Linked DNA regions of Callithrix jacchus. The protein of the gene in region 1 purifies or fractionates together with the protein of each later gene. This does not show direct contact. Links are inferred from orthologs where the notes say so. Each region holds a gene or a part of one and is shown on either strand. Other genes may lie near its edges.

Region 1 (3,614 bases):
TTGTGCCTTCTATTAGGTGACTCGCTGGGTTCCAGACCATATGGCATCACACTGCTATAACTGTGATTGTGAATTCTGGTTGGCCAAACGAAGACACCATTGCAGGTAAGTTGTTTTATATGATTTAGTCTGACTCGAAAACCAGTGCAATACATATGTATAGAACTAAGTGGAATTAGTCTGGAAATGGATACCTCTTTATAGAAACTATGTTTGTGGCCAGGTGCGGTGGCTCACGCCTCTAATCCCAGCACTTTGGGAGGCCAAGGCGGGTGGATCACAAGGTCAAGAGATTGAGACCATCCTGGCCAACATGGTGAAACCCTGTCTCTACTAAAACACAAAAATTAGCTGGGCGTGGTGGTGCGTGCCTGTAGCCCCAGCTACTTAGGAGGCTAAGGCAGGAGAATTGCTTGAACCTGGGAGGTGGAGGTTGCAGTGAGCTGAGATCACACCACTGCACTCTAGCCTGGCACTTAGCGACAAAGCGAGACTCTGTCTAAAAAAAAAAAAGAAAAAGAAAAAGAAACTGTCCCCAACTTTTCACTTACTATCATTCTCAGTATATTGGCATTTCTTAATATTAATTAATTAATTTTTTATTAGAGATGGGGTTTCGCTATGTTGCTCAGGCTAGTCTCAAACTCCTGGCCTCAAGCAATTCTACTGCCTTAGCCTACCAAAGTGCAGGAATTACCGGTGTGAGTCACTGTGCCTGGCCAGTATATCGGCATTTCTGATGAACTCTTCCCTCTTTGTGCTTTGGCAGAAATTGTGGGAATGTATTTTGTGCTGCATGCTGCCACCAGAAGCTGCCCATTCCTGATCAGCAACTCTATGACCCAGTTCTCGTCTGTAACTCATGTTTCGAACACATTCAAGTCTCTCGTGCCAGGGAACTCATGAGCCAACATCTGAAGAAACCCATCGCGACAGCTTCCAGCTGAATGCCAGGGAGATAACCTGTCCAATTTTAGCAGGTTGAAGGGAGGATCTGCTTCAGTTGTAGTTTGGAAGGTTCCTTGGTGTGGCTCATGAAAACACAGAGCTCAAAGATACCATCTTGAGAAATCCTCCTTGGTATCATGAAACTGGAGCAGAGGAATTCCAATTTGGCAGGAGGTCCTCTTCTGGTGAGACCCCTCACCTTGGGGTAATGGTCCTAATCCAGACCCAGGGTCTGGAAGCTTCATGTTGAGTTGGTGACTCCAGCTGCTTTCTCCTGGAGGTCACAAGATAATGATTGCATAGATGTTGCCTGGTGCAAAGTGCCCCAAACAGCAATAGAAAGGCATATGTATAACCAAACTCCAAGTGATAACCAGACCCATCTCTCCTCCACCTTGACAAAAGCAGATTATAGTATATAAGATTGGAATTCCTGTCCTATTTGAGATGAACTATATCCTGTACCTCTGTGCTCTGTGTCTGTGTATGAAGGCTCAGTCTTTAGAGGCACTCCCTCTAGTTGCATTAGTACTGTCTTTCTGTGGAGTTTGAAGACTGGTTCAGCAAGTGGAGGTTTCAATGTATTTTTCAGTTGGCTCATCAGCCAGCATCGGTAAATATTCAGTTTAGGGGGACAGTTCTAGGGAGTGAGACATTTTTGGGAGCAGAGGAAAACTGCTGATATTTGGTCCTGGCAAACATTGAATTATTTTGAGCTATGAAGGCAGCCGTCTCTGTTACACAGTGGCAGCTCTTGCGTTATGCACTGTGAAGAATGAGAAGGGAAAAGCAAAAATTATCCTTGTGAAATATCTGCTGACTGTTCCCTACCCTTTGCACCTGACTTTTCCTAGTTGTCCTGGTGCTAACACAGGAGCTACACCTTGATCCTCTCCTGGCATGAAAATAAAGGTTTTTGTTGTTGTTTCATTGCCCACTCCCTGATGTTGTCTTTCCCTTGGCTGCTGCCTCCTCTGGGTCACACTGCTTCTTATCCTGAACACTTGACACCTCAAGGGTAGAATTTAGCGTTTGGTTTTTACCTCCTAGCATATGCTGTTTGGTATGTGAGGGTTTCAGTACAAATGCTGCTGTCTATTAATGTGCACTTAACAATGGAACCCAAACAGAAGAGAATAAAGCCTTGATACCAAAATTGGGAGAGAACATGTGTCCATTTGGACCAAACGTTGTTGGTTTTTTAAAAAAAATTATTTTGTTTTTTTCATCTTAATATGTACCAGTGGCACTTAACCAAAAGATACAGTGATATAGCCATGTACTGTGGGCAGGACAGATACAGTCTCCGTGGCCTATAATGAAATCACTAGAACTTTATACATTTTCCTTAATTTGTTGACATATAAATGGTAAATTACATTTAGGCTTATCCTGTTTTGAAATGATGATAGTCATCTTTCTCACTGCTACTTTCATGTTGCTTTCTAGAAAACAGCATTTCATTCCAAAATAACTAGGATCTGCATTTAGAACAAGAATCATTATTTGTCCTGACCTTTTCAGTCCTACAGAGAAGCATCTGTGGTTCTTTTGTACTTGACATAGATGTAACCTAAAAAGTTTTGGGGTATTTGGGTCAGCCTAGCAGAACTTTTTTTTTTTTTTGTTCATTTAAATGGAGCTGTATAATGGAGATTTTGTGTCTGCAAAATTCCTGAGATCATTGAAAAAATAACAAGCTATTCCTTGTTTCTGATACATAAAATTATTTTAAGCATTTTCTTAGTCATTAAAATTTACTGCCAGTTGTGAGTGGCTTTTTAATTAACCTGACTTTCATTGCACTTCACTCTGCTTGTTTTCAAGGGGAGTAAGATTGGTAACATTTGGGGAGACTATATCTGTCTACTTAGTGCGGCTGTTTTGAGGGACTGTCTCATCAGTGAACAAACTGCATGGCCTTGGAGAGACTCTGGGCTCTTGGCTCAGATGTGTTCATCAAATACTCCTTTCAGAGCTGTTGTGGGTGTAAGTGATATGATGTGGCCAAAAATCCAAACCGTGCAGTTGCGTTGTGACAAACATGCAATGTGCTGTAAAAATTCAATACAGTTTAAATAAAATCTCTATATTAGTGCTGCTTTGTTGAGTCTTTTATTTTCATTTCTAAGAAAACTTAATTTTCACTCTTTGACCATGAGAAGAGTAGAACATTGTACCCCTTTCTACCAGCAATTTCCTATTTATTTATTTAGAGACAGAGTCTCACTCTGTCACCCAGTCTGGAGTGCAGTGGTGCGATCTCGGCTCGCTGTAGCCTCCGTCTTCTGGATTTACGCGATTCTCCTGCCTCAGCCTCCTGAGTAGCTGGGACTACAGGTGCGTTACCACACTGGCTAATTTTTGCATTTTTAGTAGAGATGGGGGTTCACCATACTGGTCTGGCTGGTCTCGAACTCTTGGGCTCAAGCAGTCCACCCAGCTCAGCCTCCCCAAGTGTTTGGATTACAGGCGGGAGCCAGTGTGCCCTGCCAATTTCCATTTTCAAATGAACCTCTATTTTTTAATCAGCACAGCTCTGGTTATATTCTTATTTATTGATTGGCTAGGGATCGATTATTATGGTTACCGTAGAATTCTATCCCATCTTTATTTCTCTTTAATGTCTAAAATGCCACCAGCTGGTTGAGCAGGCACACAAAATA
Region 2 (3,826 bases), on another chromosome or scaffold:
GGCCATAAAGTTTTGTTCGAGAACCAAGAATGACTGGTTTGGAAAGGATTCTTTAATTACTAAAGGAAAGCCTACTATCTCATTTTTCTGACATTCTGACAGGAGCTACTACACCTTTCTACAGATTCTTTGTTCCAAATGATATTTTAACAAAGCTTCGGCCTAAAAACACTCAGGTAATACTAATGAAGTGGCTTGCTGGGAAAACAACACAAAACAGTACGTTAGAGGAGGAGAAACAGATGAGTAGGACAGGGTCGGAGGGTCATTAAATGGATAATAACAAACCAGCATTTTTCATTTTTTTTCTAGGAGATCCCTGTAAGTATTTTAGTCAATCAAGAGTGTTGCTGAGAAAAAAAAAGGATGCTGTAGATGCCGGACACTTGTTTTTGGAGGAAACAGGACAAAGGGGTAACAAGGCTTTATGTGAAAGTATACTGCAAATGTCTAATACATAACTGTGTCCATTGTTTGTAAGGCACTATACATAGCAAGTAACAAATAAAACACAGATTTATTTTGAGTTTACAGACAAGTATATAATAAGAGTAAAACATTAGAAAAATAAAAATCATTTTGTCAAAATAGATTTGGCATGAAAAAAATATATCCTATTAAACAGTATGAAATAAGAATGTACATATAAACTAAAAAATTTCTAGCCACACAGTCTATAATTTGAAATACCTCTATGAACTCCAAGATCTGTTCAGCAGAGTGATGTCCTTCATACTCATGAATGTTGGACTGGTTGAATACCACTGTTGTTGGATAAGCCTGAATGTTATACTGATAAAAAGGAGAATGTAAATTAAAGATTTTATAGATTTCACCTATTTGTTACAAATTTATAACAAGTTTGTCTTTAACAAGATTTTAAAAACCCATTGCTAAATTGCTGGTGACAATAATTTTAGTCTCATGGCAATGAATACTGATAAATACCTGATCCTTATTTACAGCCGCTCCATTAGCCATGAAAACCACAGGGCATCAAAACATTGAGAAACCAGCATGGGTAATTACATGAATGGTCCCATTTTTACTCTCCTGAACCAAGATAAGAAGAGTCTATAACAAGGCTTTATCTCTAGCTTGAGTCTTTTTTTAAACCACAATAAATACTATTTCTAGAAGTGGATGATCAGGAAACAGCAAGAATAAAGACACAAATAATTAGGGGATACATGATTATGCTTTAGGTTAAAGAATTATGAATCATGCTCTAGGAAGGTAATCACTTTTTATTCTTTCTTCAAGACAGCCTTTATAGTAGAAATACTTAATTTCCTTCCGATAATTAAAATGGGCACCAGCCCAGGAAGCATCTCTCTAAAGCTTTTTTATGTTTTTAGTTACACAGAGATCTATGGATTTACTGTAGCTGAACTTTGCACTCTTGAAGTTGTAAGTACTCATTAGCAAATTAGAAGCTTAGACAAGGATTTAAAAATAATTTTCAAAAAAACAAAAGAAACATAACAAAGCAATTATAGCTAAAATTTAGTAAGTGCTTAGTATGTGTTGGGCACTATTTTGGCATTTAACATGTAGTTTCTCATTTAATCTTCAAAACAATTCTACTTTGTTGCTAAAATTATAAAACCCACCATATAGATTAGGAAATGAATTACTGAGAGGCTAAGTAACTTCAACCAATTGGTGAGTGGCAACTAAATAGTGAGTAGTGAATTCTGGCCTCTCTTTCCAGGTAAATCTGGTATCATAGTTTTAAACCCTTACACTGAACTCACATGTTTAATGAGCTAAGATTAAAAGTAGAAAAACTAAAGGATTTCCAATTAAGATAATTATTATCACATCAATTTTGTATCTTTGGTTGGCATTTCTTTCAAAGTTACATAGAAGACATTCAAAACCAAAAGCCTTATTTATTTCCTTTTATAAAAATTTATTTAAATGAAATTTCTACAGGCACGTGCCACTGCTGCTGGCTTAAACTTCTATGATGTTCTAAAAACATACGGCTTTCTTTTGTTTTCCTTCCTCTTCCCATTTCTTTTTTCCTTTTATCTTTTCTCCCTCCATGTTTTTTTAAAAAAACATTTTGGTTTTTATCAGTTATTTAAAACATTCACGAAAGTAGAGAGCAACAAACTCACATATTCATATAACTACAATAATCACGGACTCATGACTACTTGTATTTCACTTACACTTCCTTTCTAGTCTACTCCCAAGATTATTTTAAAGCAAAATTCAGATGATCTATCATTTCATCCACAAATATTTCAGTATATTTAAAATGTAAGGACTCTCCTCCATATAACCACAATATCATTTTCGTTGTCAAAAATTAACAATAGTTACCTGAAATCATCAGATATCTTGCAGTGTTCACATTTCCCCAGTTATCTCTTTCTTTGCACTTGATTTGTTTAAATTGCATCCAAAGTCTAAACGCTGTATCTGACTGAGAGTCTTCTAAGTCTCTTTACTCTCTCCTCCACTACAGACAATGTATTTAGCCAATAAACTGGGTGTTTGTCCTGTAAAGTTCTCCACATACTAGGATGTGCACATTTCATACCCATGGTGTCACTTAATATGCTCCTCTGTCATTCAATTTCTTATAGAGTAATAGATCTGGAGATAGATCTACCATAGGCTTTTTTTTTTGGCCAAGAATATTTCGTAGGTGATATTATGTACTTTCATTCCACAGTATATAATTTCTAGTTCTTTTTGCAACTGAGAAGTGAATATTTACCTGAGAAAATATTTTCATTTACACAAAGATTTCACAAGGCTTGTTAACTGTTTTAATTTCCTTCTAGCAAATATACTTAGAAGTATAAGAAAAGCCAAAGGAAAAAAATTATAAAATGTCAAAAATATTAAAGAAATATAAAGCTTTTAAATAATTAGAAAATAATATAAGCATTTCATTAAGTTAATGAAAACAGTTGCTTGAGTTTATAAGATCTTATTTACATTCAATCCACTGATTAGCTATTTATGGTTTAATCCAATCATATCTGATATTTTCTAAAAAAATTATTTGTTTAAATAATTTGTTACTACTCTAAACAGAAGATGTATTATTTCTTATTTTATTGCTTTAACATTAAACAGCCAAAAGGTCTCCATTTAAAAAAATTAATTAGAATTTTTGATACTTTGCCTTACCATATTACAGAGTCCCTCATGAACTGTACAATCTAGTGTACCAAACTTAAGCTGACCATAAAGAAGATTTGATGCTCTTCGTAACTCTGGTAGTAAAGCTCGACATGGTGGACACCACTAGGAAAGAAAAAGTATTCATAAGCACTGAGCCAAATGACACACACACACACACACACACAGACACACACACACACACACACAAACACACACACACAAAAACATCCCAACATTTCCGCAACAAGTAATATGCTATGTAACACAAACTGTATTTAGTGGTAAACTTTCCTTGGATTTTAGAAGCAATATGCAATGGTGGCCATAATGGAATGACACAGTTCTAGTAATAATAATTCAAAGTTATTTAGAAAATGTCTTTTTGCCATAATAAGAGAAAATCTGAAAATGCTAGAATTTGACAGATAAAAATAACTTACAGGGGCAAAGAAATCAACAAGCCATGGTTCTTTGTCACTGGCAGGAAAATTTTGAGGTCCAAGTGTGGTAACGTGAGAATTCACACTTTCTTTGGCAAAGGCAAGTATATCATACAGAATCTTCTTTCCTTTCAAAGGGAATAAGAGAAATTAAAATCCAAATTCTGCTTTTTTGTAGGCACAGAAACAGTTCAAAGTTTTCTATACTCAAAATATTAATATCAATTATGAATAAATTG

What was found.
Region 2: the proteins of MTMR4 (region 1) and DNAJC10 purify together in Homo sapiens (affinity purification with mass spectrometry; 3 studies listed by BioGRID and IntAct, counting the BioPlex papers as one, with this or other methods). This does not show direct contact. The link is inferred for Callithrix jacchus from reciprocal best matches to the Homo sapiens genes MTMR4 and DNAJC10.

What each region holds. Positions count from the first base shown.
Region 1 is NC_133506.1:72,646,522-72,650,135, forward strand, and holds the end of MTMR4 (phosphatidylinositol-3,5-bisphosphate 3-phosphatase MTMR4), read left to right. Parts: intron 1-16; coding exon 17-105; intron 106-769; coding exon 770-947; 3' UTR 948-3,045; downstream 3,046-3,614. UniProt on the Homo sapiens protein: Lipid phosphatase that specifically dephosphorylates the D-3 position of phosphatidylinositol 3-phosphate and phosphatidylinositol 3,5-bisphosphate, generating phosphatidylinositol and phosphatidylinositol 5-phosphate.
Region 2 is NC_133507.1:46,275,230-46,279,055, forward strand, and holds part of DNAJC10 (dnaJ homolog subfamily C member 10), read right to left. Parts: intron 3,716-3,826; coding exon 3,588-3,715; intron 3,271-3,587; coding exon 3,154-3,270; intron 793-3,153; coding exon 691-792; intron 1-690. UniProt on the Homo sapiens protein: Endoplasmic reticulum disulfide reductase involved both in the correct folding of proteins and degradation of misfolded proteins.